Rattus norvegicus: one gene and its partner. The protein of the gene in region 1 purifies or fractionates together with the protein of each later gene. This does not show direct contact. Links are inferred from orthologs where the notes say so. Each region holds a gene or a part of one and is shown on either strand. Other genes may lie near its edges.

Region 1 (7,891 bases):
CCAGCTGAGCTACCTAGAGGAAACTTTGGCAAGCAGAGCCACCTCGAGATTGCCCAGTGGAGCTGCCTTCAGGGAACTCTCTAAGAATCCCCAACCTACTTGAGAATAGGCACCATCGAGGAAGATGAGTCGGAATCATAACATCAACAAGGGCATGGGAGTGGCTGTCACAAAGGCCTATCATGCTTATTCACATCCAGACTCCCTTGTACCAGCTCCACTCATTATGGCAGCCACAAGCCAGGGGTGTTGCTGCCACTATAGACAGCCCAGAAAACAAAACAGACTTACCAGCAAGCTTCTCCATCTGGACCAGGGTGTCCTCTGTGGGAGCACCCTCTAAGAGCTTTTCTGTCAGCCGGCTACCACATGCCTTCAGGAGCCTGGAGAAAAATGCAATACCAGTCATGAGGTACCCTGCCAATGGGAAAACTGAACCTGAGGCTTATTAAGCCCTAGGTTCAAACCCCAGCTCACAGAAGATGGCCTACATAAGCATACTCAAAGACCGCCCTCCAACACCCCAGCCCCCATCACTGAGGAAACATTCCGTAAGACATGAGTTTGGTCCTTCTTCAGAGGGGATGAGAAAAATAGAGTATGGGATGTTTGAAGGAACTGTTGGTTTTAATCCCAATTCAGAAGTCACCTTCGAGATGAAGGGAACCTAAGTTGTACCCCAGACAATCTTTAGTTCTGCTAAGTGAGGTAATGTTCTCACGGCTACATAATAGGTGTAAAAACCAAAAACATTCTAGACCATTCTCAAAGGAAGAAGTTACAAATGGCCAATGAGTATGTGAAAAGGTATTCAATATCCTTAACTATCAGGGAAACAGAAATTCAAACTACTTAGACATCCCCTTTCACATCAGTTAGAATTCCTCTCAGCAGGAAAACCCAGGACAGGGGCTAAAGAGACAGCTCAGCAGTTAACAGCATCTGCTGCTCTCACCGGGGAATGGGGTGAGCTCCCAGCACTGACTCCGTGGTTCTCAACCATCTGTAACTGCAGTTCCACAGGACCCAACTCTGTTTTCCTGTCTTAGTGGGGAGAAGCCTCCAAATCCATACCCGATACGCCATTCCCGGGCATGACCTGAAGGACTTCAAGCGACCACAGCGGAGATCCTTAAATACTCCTGTTTACTGCTGCTCTATTCACAATGGCCAAGGAACAGGCCCAGCCTACATGCCCATCGGCTGACAAACAAACTCCAGAAGGAGCAGAATGTCCCTGCTACACTCAGGTGCTAAGGCTCTACATGTTCCGTTTTCCTGGACTACTCAGTGGAGGGTCAGGAGCTCCCTTTTCATAGGGCACCCATACACCAGACCTTCACCCCAGACACCAGCTGACTGCTCCCCACCGGCAAAAACTCCCAGGCCTCAGCCCAAAGCACCAGCTACCGGCTCGGGAGAGGCCTGAGCTAGAAACCTGCTGCCATCTTCAGAGAGGAGACTTGGTGGTCTTCCCACTTGTGTCAGTGCAAAAATGAGTTCTACCTCACAGGGTTTCCATCCAGTGGGGAGACAGAGACCTCTCTGGGTTGCAGCAGACCCACAGAGGTACACAAGCCAACCCCACCAGGAGGCAGATGGGTGACTTTGCATTGTTCTAATGGCTCACAGATGCCGAGACCCAGGATTCATTACCAGGCAAAGGAAGTATGCAGACAGGCCCACAAGTTGTCATCACTGGTCAAGGAGGTCAGAGAGCGGGCAGCGTTGCCGTTCCTCTGGTGCAGGAAGGGTGTGAAGGCAGTGTTCATCCTCTGGGCACGCTGTGGACATCCAAACTGTTCTGCCTCAAACACCTGAATACAAAGGGTGGAGAAGAGGGCCTCTTCAGGGATGGCTACCACCGAACCTTTCAGTTACTGCCACCCCACTTCCCAGATTCTCCCACTCTGTGTTCCTGACTCAGAACACGGTCCATGCCAGCAGTCTGGCAATGCCTCACAGAATGGTTCTGCTGACCCAGGGGGTTCTGTGTGTTCCTCTCTACCCCTACTTGGCTCCTTGGACTCCACTGGATAGTCACCGTTCTTCAAGTACTCAGGTTCATTTCACAGACCCTTGCAGGTGACAGACACAGGACTAACTCCTTATAGGAGGCTCCTATGCCTTCCAGCCACATTCTAATACAGTCCAGCCACTCCACCTATCAGGACGAAGGATGAACAGCCTCCTCCTCTACTGCCCAAGGACAGAGCACAAATGAGAAATGGGCCACTGAGTCTAAAGGTCTGTGACCAAAGCATGGCCATGCCTGCCTGTGTGCTCTTCTGCAGCTGGAGGGGGTGCCCTAGGTGGGGTCTAGATAAGAGTAGCAGGCAGTTTGGGTTGTGAAGGGTACAGGAAGTAAAGGTACTGGGCAAGAAGTCAGAGGTTGAATAGCAGTTAGGACAGCTGTGGCGGGGGTGATTGCCTTTAATCCCAGCACTCAGGAGGCAGAGGCAGGCGGGTCTCTGAATTCAAGACCAGGATGAAACCAGGAGAGTTACAGGCTGGCTGGGAGGGTCGCCCGGGACATCACCGCACTGAAGCGTGGGCCCAAAGCAGAGGCAGAGCCAGGAGGACCACTGCTGCCCGGGCACCCAGCATCCATGCCAAACGGCCACAGCCCCGCCTTGAGCATCACCTTGAGGGCCTTGCCCTGGAGCTCGCTGATGATCCCGCGGATCTTGCCCAGCAGGAAGGGCCAGGAGTTGATGAGGTAGATCCGATCCATCATGATGGCGATGATGCTGTACCAGCGCTGGAAGCCTCTGGCCAGGCTGTCTTTGATGAAGAAGGTGTGGCTGAACACAAAGCCATGTTGCTCATCACCAAAGAAGATGGGGCCTTCACGACCAGGGCACACCTTGGAGGGAGCCACAGTAACTTTAGGGGAAGTCCTGACTTTACCTCAAGCCTCGTGGGCCTCTTTTCCTGTTTCTGTTATTGTTTTAAAGACTTTTTAAAGATTTATTTATTATATATAAGTATATATATACTGTATGTAGCTGTCTTCAGACACACCAGAAGAGGACATCAGATCTCATTACAGATGGTTGTGAGCCACCATGGGGTTGCTGGGATTTGAACTCAGGACTCTGGAAGAGCAGTAAGTGCTCTTAACCACTGAACCATCTCTCCAGGCCCTCTTTTCCTGTTTTTGGTGGTGCTGGGGTTAGGACTCAGGGCCTGGCTGGAACAGAGCAGGCCAGTGTCCTATCAATGAATGGCACCAAATGTTACAACTTGCTCTTGATGGGCAGACTGGAGAGCCAGCAGAAGCAATGGCTACTTCTGGTCTTTAAATCATGGGAATGTGGTGTGTAGGGTTGGAGGAGGGGGTGGTGTAAACACGAGTACAGGTGCTTGCAGAGGCCAAAGGTGCTGGATCCCCTGGATTTGGAGTCATGGGAGGCTGTAAGCTACCCAGCGTGGGTGGATATTAGGAACTAAACTGAGATCATCCGTATCAGTAGCACAGAATCGTAGCTGTTGAGCTATCTCCAGCCCATAGCACACCCTATTTTTAGAGAGTCCTTTGGTCTCTCCCTCCTGACAAATTTGCTGGACCTGTGACTACTGTGCACAGGGCATCTGGTGCTGCTGAGCGTACAGCAGGAGACGGAGGTATAGAGCACACTGAGAACAAGCACCATGGCGCCCAGGGATCCTACAAGGTGGAGATAGGGGCCATATATGCCTGTGGGACAGATCAGACCTAGAAGCTGAGACTCGGGCCCCACAGCAGAAGCTCAGGGGCAAACATTCTTGTTTGTTGTTAAACCTTTATTTTTCTTCTCTGCTCTGTTTGCCGGCATATATGTCTATCCCACGTGCGTGCAGTGGCCATGGAGGCCAGAAGAAGGTGTGAGGTCCCCTGGGACTGAGCTATGGACAGTTGTGAGCCAACATGTGGTTGCTGGGATTGAACTTAGGACCTCTTCACCACTGAGCCAGCCCTGCAGCCGGATGCATTCTTTGGAAGGTTCTAAGCATTCCACCATGGCATGTTGATACAATGTAAAGGTGACACTGCCTAGGGACCGTCCCATCTCAGAGACTTGCCCATCAAGAATGGACTAGAAAAACCAGTCTGTTGTTCGAAGTGAAATGCCAACCCCTATGTAGACAGCCCGAGTCCACAGGGACTTACTCTTCAGGCTCTAACGACTGCTTCCATGCTCACACAGCACTGACAAGCAAGGCCCCCTGTGTTGGTAAACAGCAATGAACCTATCTGTCCCCGTGCACGTCTCCCGCGGATAGCCTGCCGCTGGCCTTACCTCACAGCTCAGGCTGCGGACACAGGCCTGGCGGACAATGCTGAAGAGCTGTGGGTGGTTGGGGTGCTGGTGGCTGACGTACTTGATAGAGGTCTCCTTATCATGACTGATATAACCTGGGTGCCCTACAGCAAGCGAGCGGCAGCCCTGCACACAAAGGACGACAAAATAAATAAATAAATAAATAAATAAATAAATCTCTTGGCTAGGAGCAGGCAACATATCTAAATATAGAAAACACAATCCTTTTTAAATTTTTAAAACTTTTTAAAAATCATCTTCTTGCTGGGCAGTGGTGGTGCACACCTTTAATCTCAGCACTAGGGAGGCAGAGGAAGGAGGATCTCTGTGAGTTTGAGGCCAGCCTGGTCTAAAGAGTAAAGTGCCAGGACAGCCAGGGCTACACTGAAAACCCCAGTCTCAGAAAAACCAAAACCAAAATCAACAACGACAACAAAAAAAAAAAAAGAAAAAAAGAAAGAAAGAAAGAAAAGAAACTTGCTTTTTTCTGGAGAAACATTATCTCTAGTTGGTACGACTTCCTTTAAGTATGTGTAATGATGTGTGGTTTTCTTCCCCCCGAGACAGGGGTTCTCTGTGCATCCCTGACTGTCCTGGAACTCTCTCTGTAGACTAGACCGGCCTCTGCACTGACTAGGTTAAAAGGGCTCATGCTGGGGTGGTGAGAAAAATGTTCTCAGGACCTTGGAGGTTTCCCAGGCTCCCACTACAGCCCACCTCTCACAGAAAGGCTAAAACCAGCTCACGGTCCCAAAGGGCACTTGCCTCGCACATGTCTGACTTCTTGGGCCCCGGGCTGCTGGAGTCAGTGCTGGCGCCCTCGGCTGGGCTGTGGGCACGGACTCGGCTGCTCATCTGGATGCCGCCCTCTTCTTCCTCAGCCTGCTCAACCTGGCCAGGACTGTCCCCACTTCCGGCACCCTGGGGCAGGGGAGCGTGTAGAACCTCCGTGCAGAAGAGCGTGCGGGGGCCATGGAGCTCGCAGAAGTGGCAGAGAGCCACAATGGCGTTCATGGTGCTGGAGAATGGCCGAGGCCTGTAGGGAAGGACGGCATCTGTGGGCCTGCCCCATCCATGCTACGGAATCAGGCCAAGGGCTCTGACAGGGTGTCCGCACCTGCCAGCACCAATGGGCACTCGCTGCGTAACAGTTGCTACATCAAGGGCAGGAAAGACACGGGGGAGGGGGAGAAGAGCAAATGGATGGACGGATAGATGGACACAGACAGGACAGGCACCAAGGAGGGTCAGCAGCCTTCATCATCTCCCACACCTGCAAGGCAAGGTTTGAATGCTGGGGTGCTTGGGGTCGGGGTGGGGGGCACCTACAGAGATGAACATCTTTCTGCATGGGGAGACTTGGAACACAGCTCTGCAGCACATACAGGGGACTCTGAGGGGAGTAGGACCAGAGGTGGGGTTGGCTGCACAGGTCTGGGTGGAGCCGTGGGTGGGCCAAGCAGGTGGGTGGGGCCTGAGTGGGTTCAGAGATGGGGGGGCCTGAGTGGGTTCAGAGATGGGCAGACCTGAGGGCAGAGGCGGACCTCTTGAACTCTGTGGCCACAGCCAGGCCCCCGTTTGTTCTAGAAATGGCAAGGTTCCCAGGGTTCTGATGAAGGCAAACCAGCTCTGAGGGCTTTGCTGAGGAGCAGAAGGTGCCAGATGACAGCCCCACTGCCCACTGAAGAACGATGGGGCACTGGTGGGTGACGGTGACAGGTGGGGAGGCCAAACAGTGCCAGAGTTTCCAAAATGAGTAGGCGGACTCAACTAGAGGGAGGAGAGAATGTGGATAATGAAGATGGAGATGGGGAAAACAAAGGGGCGGGGCGGAGCGGATGCTGGGGTGGGGTTTGCAGACATTTTTTAGCTTCGAGTGGAACTGAATGGGGCAGCCAGGGCCTCAAACAGGGACCATGTGGCTTCCACAGATCACAGGGCCCTCCAGAGCAGGTGACCAAAGAGCCACCTAAGCCATCCTGCTGGACCAATAAGAGCTTTAGTAAGGGGAGAATGGGTGTCACTCAGCCTTGAGAGTCAGGCAATCCTACAAACCGCTGTATCTCGGACAGAATGAAACCAGGCACATGCAGGATACGCTCTGGCTAACCCACTGGAGAGATCTGGGGAGCCGGACCTGACCCCAGCGAGGTGACCAGAGTCTGATAGAGACGGTGTCAGCTGGGAAGACAGTGGAGCTGAGGTGGATGGTGTGAGGGAGAGAGTTAAATGCTGCGTCATGAGTTTTATCACATCATGAGTTTTTAAAAAGGCGTAGGCAGGCATGGTGGCACACCGGTGATCCCAGCATTGCCACAGAGGCAGAGGCCAGTGTAGTTTACAAAGCAAATTCTGGGCTAGCCAGAGTAAAACCCTGTCTAAAACAAAAACCAAACAAAACCACCCAAAACTGACCACCTGCAGAGCCACAGGAAGGTCACTGGAAGTCATGTGATTTCTAGAGGAGAGAGGAAAGAGTGGGGAATGGTGCTCCAGTGGAAGAGACAGGGTGAACCTGAAAGGGCTGTGGTGTCTGGGAAGCCCCGCTTCTCCACCTGACGAAATGATATGGCAGCCTGCAGGCAGCTGCGGCACGGTTGGGTGGCCGAGGGGCATTTGTTCTCTGCTTTACAGCTAACCAGAAAAGGTGTTAAAGGCCAGAATGTCCTAGGGGTTCTGACAGCAGAGGTGGCAAAGGCAGAGGTGGGGACGGCCAAAGCTGCATACCTGACCCATGGACACTGCAGACCATACTGGCTGGCTGGAAAAAGGTCTGGAAGGACGGGTTAGGGTCTTCACACCCACCATATCCAGTCACATGGGACAACTCAAGATTTTAAACTAGAGCAAAACTCAGGACCGCCGTTCACACAGGGCTTCATCTGAACTGTGTGGGTTCCGGGGCATTTCCATAAACAACAACAACAACAACGCCCGGGCTCCTTAGGAGAATCCTACTCAAGGAGTATGCAACTATTTAAGTCTCTAAATACAGGCAAGAGGACACTTTCTTCCTAGGTCCTTGTCCCCGGGAAGAATAGGCCAAGATATGGCCCATCAGACGAGCGCAAAGTTGGAGCTCAGCACTCGTCACACAGGTAGCTGGTGACGGACAGCTGTGCCCTGGTCGTCTCTGGCTGCCTCCTTTGAGATGGCACTACCATCAGCAGCCCTACCTCTAGCATTTCTGCAGTCAACTTCCTGAGCTGACAGGTCACCGAGCACCAGTCCTCCTAGGCTGAAACAGGATTAGCAGCAGCAGCTATAAACAACTGATAAGGCAGGAGGCAGAGAACTTGGGGGTACACTTGCCCATGGGGGTTCTGACTGCAGCACAGGGCAGAAGAGCTGGAGATGAAGGTCCTGAACATGTGGGCTGCAGATCTTTGTCGGGAGCACCCGGCCTCCAGGTGCCTGACTAGCTCATGCTGACTGTCACTCCCCAACCTACCAGCTCCCACTCTGTCACCTGTCCTAGGCTTTGGGACCTATGTTGCTTGTGTTTTCCCTTCACAAATGCTAAGCTCCTCTTGGTGGAGACTTTGGTTAAATACAATCCCTTCTGTGTCCACCACAGTTCCCAACAC
Region 2 (7,891 bases), on another chromosome or scaffold:
GTTCCATCACTTCAGATGGACACGGTATGGGCTGACCTTTACAGCGCACTGGGTATAATATGCTGGTAAACTGTCGTGGGAAGGGGAGAACTGGAGGGTTTCAGTTTGAGGAATATATCCTAATTGTTTCTCTGAAAATTCGCTGTTTTTCTAAGACTGAATGGCCATTTGTTGGAGTCTGACAGTAGGATAAAGTCCTGTAACCACAAGAATAGAGCCAGCAGTGGGGCATCTGAGGCAGGATTACAGTATGAGGCTAAGAAGGAAAACCAGCAGAAGAACCTAACAAGTTAACTGCAAAAGCTCGATGCCTCCAAAAGGGAAAATACTTTAGAATGGATTACCCAAAAAGAACAGGTGTGTGCCGGTTTGAATGACAGCCACAGGTTCATCTATTTGAATGCTTAGTGTCCAGGGAGTGGCACTGTTTGAAAGGATTAGCAGGATTAGGAGTGGACTTGTTGGAAGAAGTGTGTCCCTGGAGGTGGGCTTTGAAAGCCACACCAGGTCCAGTGTCTCTCCGGTGCTGGATCAGGATATAAAACTCTCACCTCCTTCTGCAGCACTATGTCTAACTGTGTGCCACCATGCTCCCTGCTGTGATGACAACAGGCTAAACCTCTGAAACGGTAAGCAGCCCCAACTAAATACTTTCCTTTACAAGAGTTGCCTTGGTCATGGTGTCTCTTCACAGTGATAGAACAGTGACTAAGACAATAGGAAAAACTAACTAAATCTAGCTGTAAAAGATAGAAAAATCTGATAAGAATTTGAGGTCTAACTGTTAACTAATACTATAAGAGATGGAGAGATGACCCAGCAGTTAAGAGCACATGTCCTAGCATCTACGTCTGCCATCTTGTAACAGCCTGTAAATCCAGCTTGAGGGGATCAGATATCCCTCTTCTGCTCTCCATGTGGATGTGCATATATGTGGCACGCAAATGCATTCACATACACATGTAGTAGCAATAGCAGCAGCAGAAGTAAGAACAAAAAAACACTGAGAGGCAGGTATGGTGGCACGTGCTTATACTAATAGTGGAGGAGCTGAAGCTAAAGGATTCTGAATTTAAAGCCAGCCTAGGCTAAACAGTGATGCCTCATCTCAAAAGCAAGCAAGCAAGAAAGCAAACGAAAAAGCTTGCTTGAAAAGGAAAACAAAGTTAACTAAATAAAACAAAAATTTATCAGGCTTAGTAAAAAAATTAAAGGCTGACATTATAGGCATAGTAGTATCTTATTCCAAATTAGCAGAATCATCGTCAGGAATATGAGGGAAATCCCTCATAGGTATAGTCCCTTTTGTTATTTCTATTGAAATGAAAGTGGAGTCAGAAGGTTTTGTAGATAAAGTGTGACAAGTGTCCTCAGAAGATAGTGTACATTCTTAGTATTGAGCAGGTCTTCCCTTGGGTGAGTAAGCTCAGGAGGTCCACTCAAAGAGCCTCCCACCTCCTCCACCATGTAAGACAAGCTACTACTCCTCATAGCTTGTGTCTTTTACACTGTTACAGTGTCACTATGAATGAAGAGATAGAATTAGATCAAATGTCACTCCAGCCTACAAGCTGCAACTCACTGGGGAATGGGCACACCTCTGACTGTCCCTGGGCACAGTGAGAAATACTGATCCTGTAGATAGAGAATGACACAGGCCAATAGGTCGTGTGTGTGTGCATGTGTGCATGTGCGTGCTGCATCGGACTGCAGCCAGTACACGTTGGAGAAAGGCCAGCCTTTCCCAGAACTCACCCCAGCACCACGCTCAGCTCTTTCACGTGCACACGTGTGTGTCCCCGGAGATACTCTGAAAGCATTTTACTTTTGAGGTACATCTCCTGTAGTCTGTCTTCCAGATGCATGATGCACTGCAAAGCCAACAGCATTCACAATGAGGACTACAACTGCAGCATCCGCCAGGGTCAGAGCGGGGCTTCTCTTTAGTTAGTTCTACAAACACAGCTGTAATTGCCCCCCTTTCGATTTAACCCCCAAAACTACCAGCTTGAGTTTTTCATAAAATAGCTATTAACATTGTTATATGGTATCATTCTAGTATCTTTAAAAGAAAACATTTCACAGAAGTTAAATCATTCCATAAGCATGAACATTCCTGTTTTTTGGCTTTTAAGTTGTCAACTCTCTTTCCGTGGAACCAGTCTTATGGTCAATACCGTCGTCAATGTTAAGTCTCTTGAGCACCACATTCCTCCTTAAGTGTATCAAAACCCTACTGAGCAGTGAGTTGCAAAAGTGGATTTTTGCACTCGTCCTTTATGCCTCTGTTCACAAAATTTCTTGTCATTAAGAAACTTAGCAATAATCTCATATTTAAGAGTTCCTTACTGTGCCATGTTTATGGCCAATGCTCTAGAGAACGTTAACTTACCATTATTTACTTAGCCATGGGGAAATCTACATTTGGGGTATAATTTTGTGGAAAATGTTTTAGTTCTTGTTTTCTTCCTACACCTCAGACTGTTCTGGCATAATACATTCCCAAAAGCAGAATGATTGGAACAATGTCCCTCACTTTTATTTTGGTATCGAGAGTATCCTTTAACTAAGTCTTTAGTAGCAATAGGAGAGACATGATTTGGGGGATGTCTTCACCCTTGGGATGGTGTCCAGCCTCAGTGGTTAGAGAACTGCAGTCATCTACATCTCTCACCGGCAGCAAATGCTTCTGCACTTGGCAGGCAGCTGTCTAAGTGTCTCTGGGAGATACTCGAAGGCTTTGGCAGGGTAATTCCATCATGCATAATTTCCTTCTGGACCATCAGTCCTCTCATTTTCAAGGTAAAAGGATTAACAGATGCATTTGAAAATGTTGATCCTGACCATCTGGGCTGATCAACATCAGGGCAGACAAAGTGTCTGTGAGACAAGGGCACTTTCAGTGTTTCACTGGTTAGCATCTTAGGTACTGTGCTAGGGACAAGCCCAACAGCATGTAAGCACTACTCAAGTTGAAGGGATACCACCGATCTCAGAAATGGTCCCTTAAATGAGCATAGGGAAGTAGCAGAGGAATTTTTCTACCAACTTTTGGTTCGCTATGGAATAAAGTTGTAAGTGTTTAATAAGAGTTACAAGATACACAACAAGAACATTCAAATTATAGTGACTTCTTAAGTCTTAAAGTGGTTTATGTATAGCGTTCTTAGTCTACAGAAAAAGTATATGATGCAATGTGGGTCTAGGACTGTATACTAAATGAAAAAAAAACCACATTTACAAAAAAATAGTTTAAAGCTTCATAATCAAATAGAGTTATGTTGAGTAGTTTTCCCTTCTTTGTAAGATTTTATTCCTGAGATGCAATGTAATTTTCAACTTCTATTCTTTTTTTTTTTTTTTCCGGAGCTGGGGACCGAACCCAGGGCCTTGCGCTTGCTAGGCAAGCGCTCTACCACTGAGCTAAATCCCCAACCCAATTTTCAACTTCTAAAACTTAGCTATTTTTTTCCTTTCATATGTAAGCAGTGCTTAGATGGAACTCTTCTGGATTTTGGTTTTCCCAGGTTAAGTAAGTCATCCATGTATTACCAAGTGGCCATGTATGTTTCTACCAAATGAAGCAAAAGGAATGTTCTGTAAATTATTGCTTTGATAGCTAAGATGTCAGACAATGAGAACCATGTCTTAGACAATCCAATGACAGCATCTGTAAAGACAGTAACACCACCACAGGGTCTAATATCTCCTCCTTCCCTTACAGAAAAGGAAATTCAAGTCTCAAAATCAGGACAGATCAAAACACTTCTAGGATAAAGTGAGATCATAATAACGCTGAGTGGTGCTCCTGACGCCCCTTGGACCCACAGTCTGCAGAGCACGCTTCAGCTAAGAGCCAAATAAAGATTGTTATGAAAGGCGTTGCCAGTTCTTACACCTTCGATACTGCTGAACTGTCACCAAGACATGCCAATCAGACTGACTTACTGGTGGCTTGTAAAATCTGCCATGATTCCAAGTGCTTCGTATGAATTAACTACTTTTCCTAAGCTCATGAAGCACACTCGTACGTTTATTCACTCTTTCAGATGTACAGATAAGCTGAGGCTCTGGGAGGTTATGCAGCACAGAAGTAGAACTTGGAGTTGGCTGTCATGACCACCCTTTGACTGTGAATATATATGCAAGTGAGTTTTAAAGCTACCTGTGCTGGTGTGGTACTTTGACACTTTTGGAAAAAAAAAAAAAAAGCAGCGCTTCCTCTCTGGCCCTCAGAGCATCCTTACAGCATATCTGTAACATCTTCATGATGCAAACAAGAAACCTAAGCTTCAAAGACACTCAGAATCATCCGCCACACAAGTGAAATCCAGGGATGCTGCAAGGTTTTCCTGACCTGCTACAGTATGACAGTGTCCATACCCATCTTTAGAAAGCCCACACCAAAGTCCTGACTGTGTGCAAAATGGTGCAACTGAGGACCCCACCGTAAGAATTTAGGTGACCAGTGAAGTGGCAGTCAGTGTATTAACGGATACTCAGCTTCCTGTTTTGCTGTTAAATAATTCTGTGCTATTTCCTGAGGCCAGGAGGAAGGTGGAAGCTTTGAGCTCAGGCTGTGCTGCAGAAAGCAATCCTGCACTGATGGAAGGAAAGCAGAAAGGCAGGCACTTGCAAGTGCATCCCTATGGCCACTGTCCCTAAGCTGCCAGTTATGTGCCTTTCATTCCTCCCCTTCACAAACCTCTCTCTCTCATTCCCTAAACAGACTTTCAACCTCTCTGCACACATACCACATATCAAAAGAAATTTGTTAAATCTATCCCACAGACTAGGGAGGAACTGCAAATAATTTTCTAGGACTTTCTAGGCTGTTCTTCATTTCTATTTAAAATGTTACAAAAGTGATTATCAAATCCCACTTGGAAAGGAACAGCTGACACCATGTTCTAAGTTCTTACACAGAACTTCCAAATTTGAAGTGCTTCCATTCACCTGCAATGGACTGGGAGGGTGCTCACAGAACAGAAGAAACTACACTCCCTTCAGAAACTGGCTGGTCTCGGACCCGTCTAGACGCTCTCCAAGGAGGACTCTGATTGCTTTTTAGGCTCTGTTCCCTTTATCTACTTTACTATCTGCTTTGTACAGAAGGCACTGTCCTCTGCTCCGTCCGGTCCTGTGCCCGGTCTGCAGGTCTGATGCTGCATGCTCCATTTTTCTTTAACGCTAACCTTCAATATATTAAAAATGATGTGTCCGAACTTGTGATTTTTATAATCAGAATACTGAATAAAAGCCATTTTCCAGCTATATGATTACTGATGGCAGAAGACCAAATACTTACAAAATCAGCGGGGAGGTGAAGCTTATGGAGCTGTAAGATGGACTGGAGTAAACTGGACACCTGATTAGAGACCAGGACATCCTGGCCCAGCTTCATGGCGTCCGTCACTTTCCTCTGACTTGTGGCCACCTGGACAGTCCACTTGTCAGTGTCTGCAATGATGCAGACGGCTTCGGCTATGGGCTCATCGAGCACTGGGTGCTGAAAGAGAGAGACGGTGGATTGGCATTCTCAGCTCGGAATGGATAGAGTGCTGTCTGAGATTACAGGATGAAGGTGCGAACTGCAGAAGCCTGGAACTTGACAGGTACTCAGAGAGGTGTGCTGCTGAAGCAGCGCTTAAATCCAAGTTCAGTGCCTGAGAAGGACACGCTCAAGTTGTCCTGACCTACAAATGTGCTGTGGTATACATGTACACACACACACACACACACACACACACACACACACACACACACACACACACACACCTTTAAAAACAAACAAAAAAATATCAGAAGGTGGACAGATAACCTGAGGAATACACCCAAGGGTGACCTCTGGCCTCCATATACACAGACATGTATGTGTACACATGTGTACACACAATACTACCACCACCAGCACCAATTCCTTAAAGTTACAGCTTTAATTGTTAAACAAAGTTTCTTTAGTAACTGTGGTTATGCATACCAATAATTTCTAATAATCAATTATAATGAGGCTGAGAACTTATTGATCCAGATGAATCTAAAAGGTTAAAGTCTGGCTGCTGAGTATTTTTTCTTAAAAATACTTCATAATAAACTGTATCATAAGGTATAAACGTCTGTAATGATGAATCTCAGCTGTCAAGTGAGACTTAGAGCATGCTTATAAAGGACTGTCTTGACTGGGATATTTTAGGTGGGAAGATTGGCTCATGATGGGTGGCACCATTCCCTAGGCTGGGACCTGGGCTCTATATAGGAGGAAGTGAAGAGTACACACGTTCATTACTCTCTCCTGCTTGTCCACAGATGCAGTGTGACCAGCTGTACCCAGGCTCCTGCTGCAGTGACAGACTATGACCTCAAACAGTGAGCCAAAGTGAACCCTTCTGTTCTACGCTGGTTTTGTCAGGGTATTTTATCACAGTAACAGAAAATAAACACAAAGTAAGATAACCTTGAAATAACAGAGAAAATGGCCTCCTAAACATCTCATCTCTCAATTGGGCTTCTGCTCTACCTGTAGTTGCTCTGAACTCATTGCCTTCCTGTAGCAACCCACAAGAGATCCAGAGATCCGAGATGGAAACTGTAGTTCTGTAGGTGTTAAATAGCTGAGCTAGTGATTCATATATGTGACAAGTTAGTAGCAGGAGCTGGTGGTAAAATAGTAAAAGCTCCCTTGGGATGGTCTGCATCCAAGCCCAAAGCCTCAAGTCTTGCACGTGCTCCACGGGTGGTATGGACAGCAGCATGTTATAGGAGCACTGAGACCTGATATCTATCCACATGCTACGGGAGGCTTTTTTACCAGTCAGCAGCTTGCTTTTCTCATCTGGAATACTACTCCTAGTTTCTGGGAGATAATTTTGACATTGTTAATATTCTATCCTTAAATCTTCAGAAAGGCTGTTTTTCTGATTAATTTTCTTAATGCCTGACTTTTAAAACTGATCTCGAAATTTGGGAGTACAGATATGAATAATATGTAGGTGTGATGTTTTATAACAGAATGATTACATTTAATTTTATCAAATTGATTGTTTTGCTATGAAGAAACTTTATTAAAAATAGTAGTCATAATGTTAGAGTATAAAATCTTCCTAGCCTTATGCAAGTGTCCCATGGGTCATATGGCTGATAAGTATCCATCATTTTATGTTGGAAGGGTACTGGTGTGCTATTTGGAAGTTTGCCTTTTATACTCCTTTGAACGTCATTTTGTCTTATTTATTGATGTAATTTACACGTTACAATTCACTCACTATATATGTAAACTGGATGAGCTTAACAAATATATATACATATATATACATATACACACACACACTTGTGCACCCACTATCAAAATCATGTATTAAAATTTTGCAGGACCACAGAAATTCAAGTTCCTTTGTAGTCAGACCTCTCTAGTGAGTCATCCCAGCAACAACTAATACTACGCCTCCTAGAACTGAAGTGGACATTTCTGGTTTCTTTAACAACTCAGTCGTCTCACATGATGCTTTCCTGGAAGCTGTCTTGTAAAAGGGCTGAACACAGACATTTGAGAGGGTGCACGATGTTTAGAAAGAAGATAAATGGAACCCCACAAACAGCGGGAGGACGCTCTTGTGTTGCTATGCCATGCAACGCTTCCCTAGCTGATCTTTGCTGGTGTTCACTTCATAGAGAGAAATGTGCCATAGAACTTCTCATGGTATTCCTGCTGATTCTGGCCATTCCATGACTTGTACCTAAATGGTGGAGCCGCGCTGTTTCTGCTAGATCAAGCCACCTCAACTGATTCACCTGGTGCTTGCTATTGCTTGGTATCCCGACAACAATGAGTGGAACCACCCCAAGGAACTACTTCTAAACAGGTCCACAACACCCTTTTCCTATCAACCTTTTT

What was found.
Region 2: the proteins of Flcn (region 1) and Fnip2 purify together in Homo sapiens (affinity purification with western blotting; 5 studies listed by BioGRID and IntAct, with this or other methods). This does not show direct contact. The link is inferred for Rattus norvegicus from reciprocal best matches to the Homo sapiens genes FLCN and FNIP2.

The regions. Positions count from the first base shown.
Region 1 is NC_086028.1:45,095,555-45,103,445, forward strand, and holds part of Flcn (folliculin), read right to left. Parts: intron 6,075-7,891; exon of another isoform or gene 5,831-6,074; intron 5,578-5,830; exon of another isoform or gene 5,341-5,577; 5' UTR 5,319-5,340; coding exon 5,070-5,318; intron 4,431-5,069; coding exon 4,284-4,430; intron 2,867-4,283; coding exon 2,645-2,866; intron 1,818-2,644; coding exon 1,657-1,817; intron 384-1,656; coding exon 292-383; intron 1-291. UniProt on the Homo sapiens protein: Multi-functional protein, involved in both the cellular response to amino acid availability and in the regulation of glycolysis.
Region 2 is NC_086020.1:166,898,671-166,906,561, forward strand, and holds part of Fnip2 (folliculin-interacting protein 2), read right to left. Parts: intron 5,510-7,891; coding exon 5,309-5,509; intron 3,879-5,308; exon of another isoform or gene 3,773-3,878; coding exon of another isoform or gene 3,725-3,772; intron 1,872-3,724; coding exon 1,756-1,871; intron 1-1,755.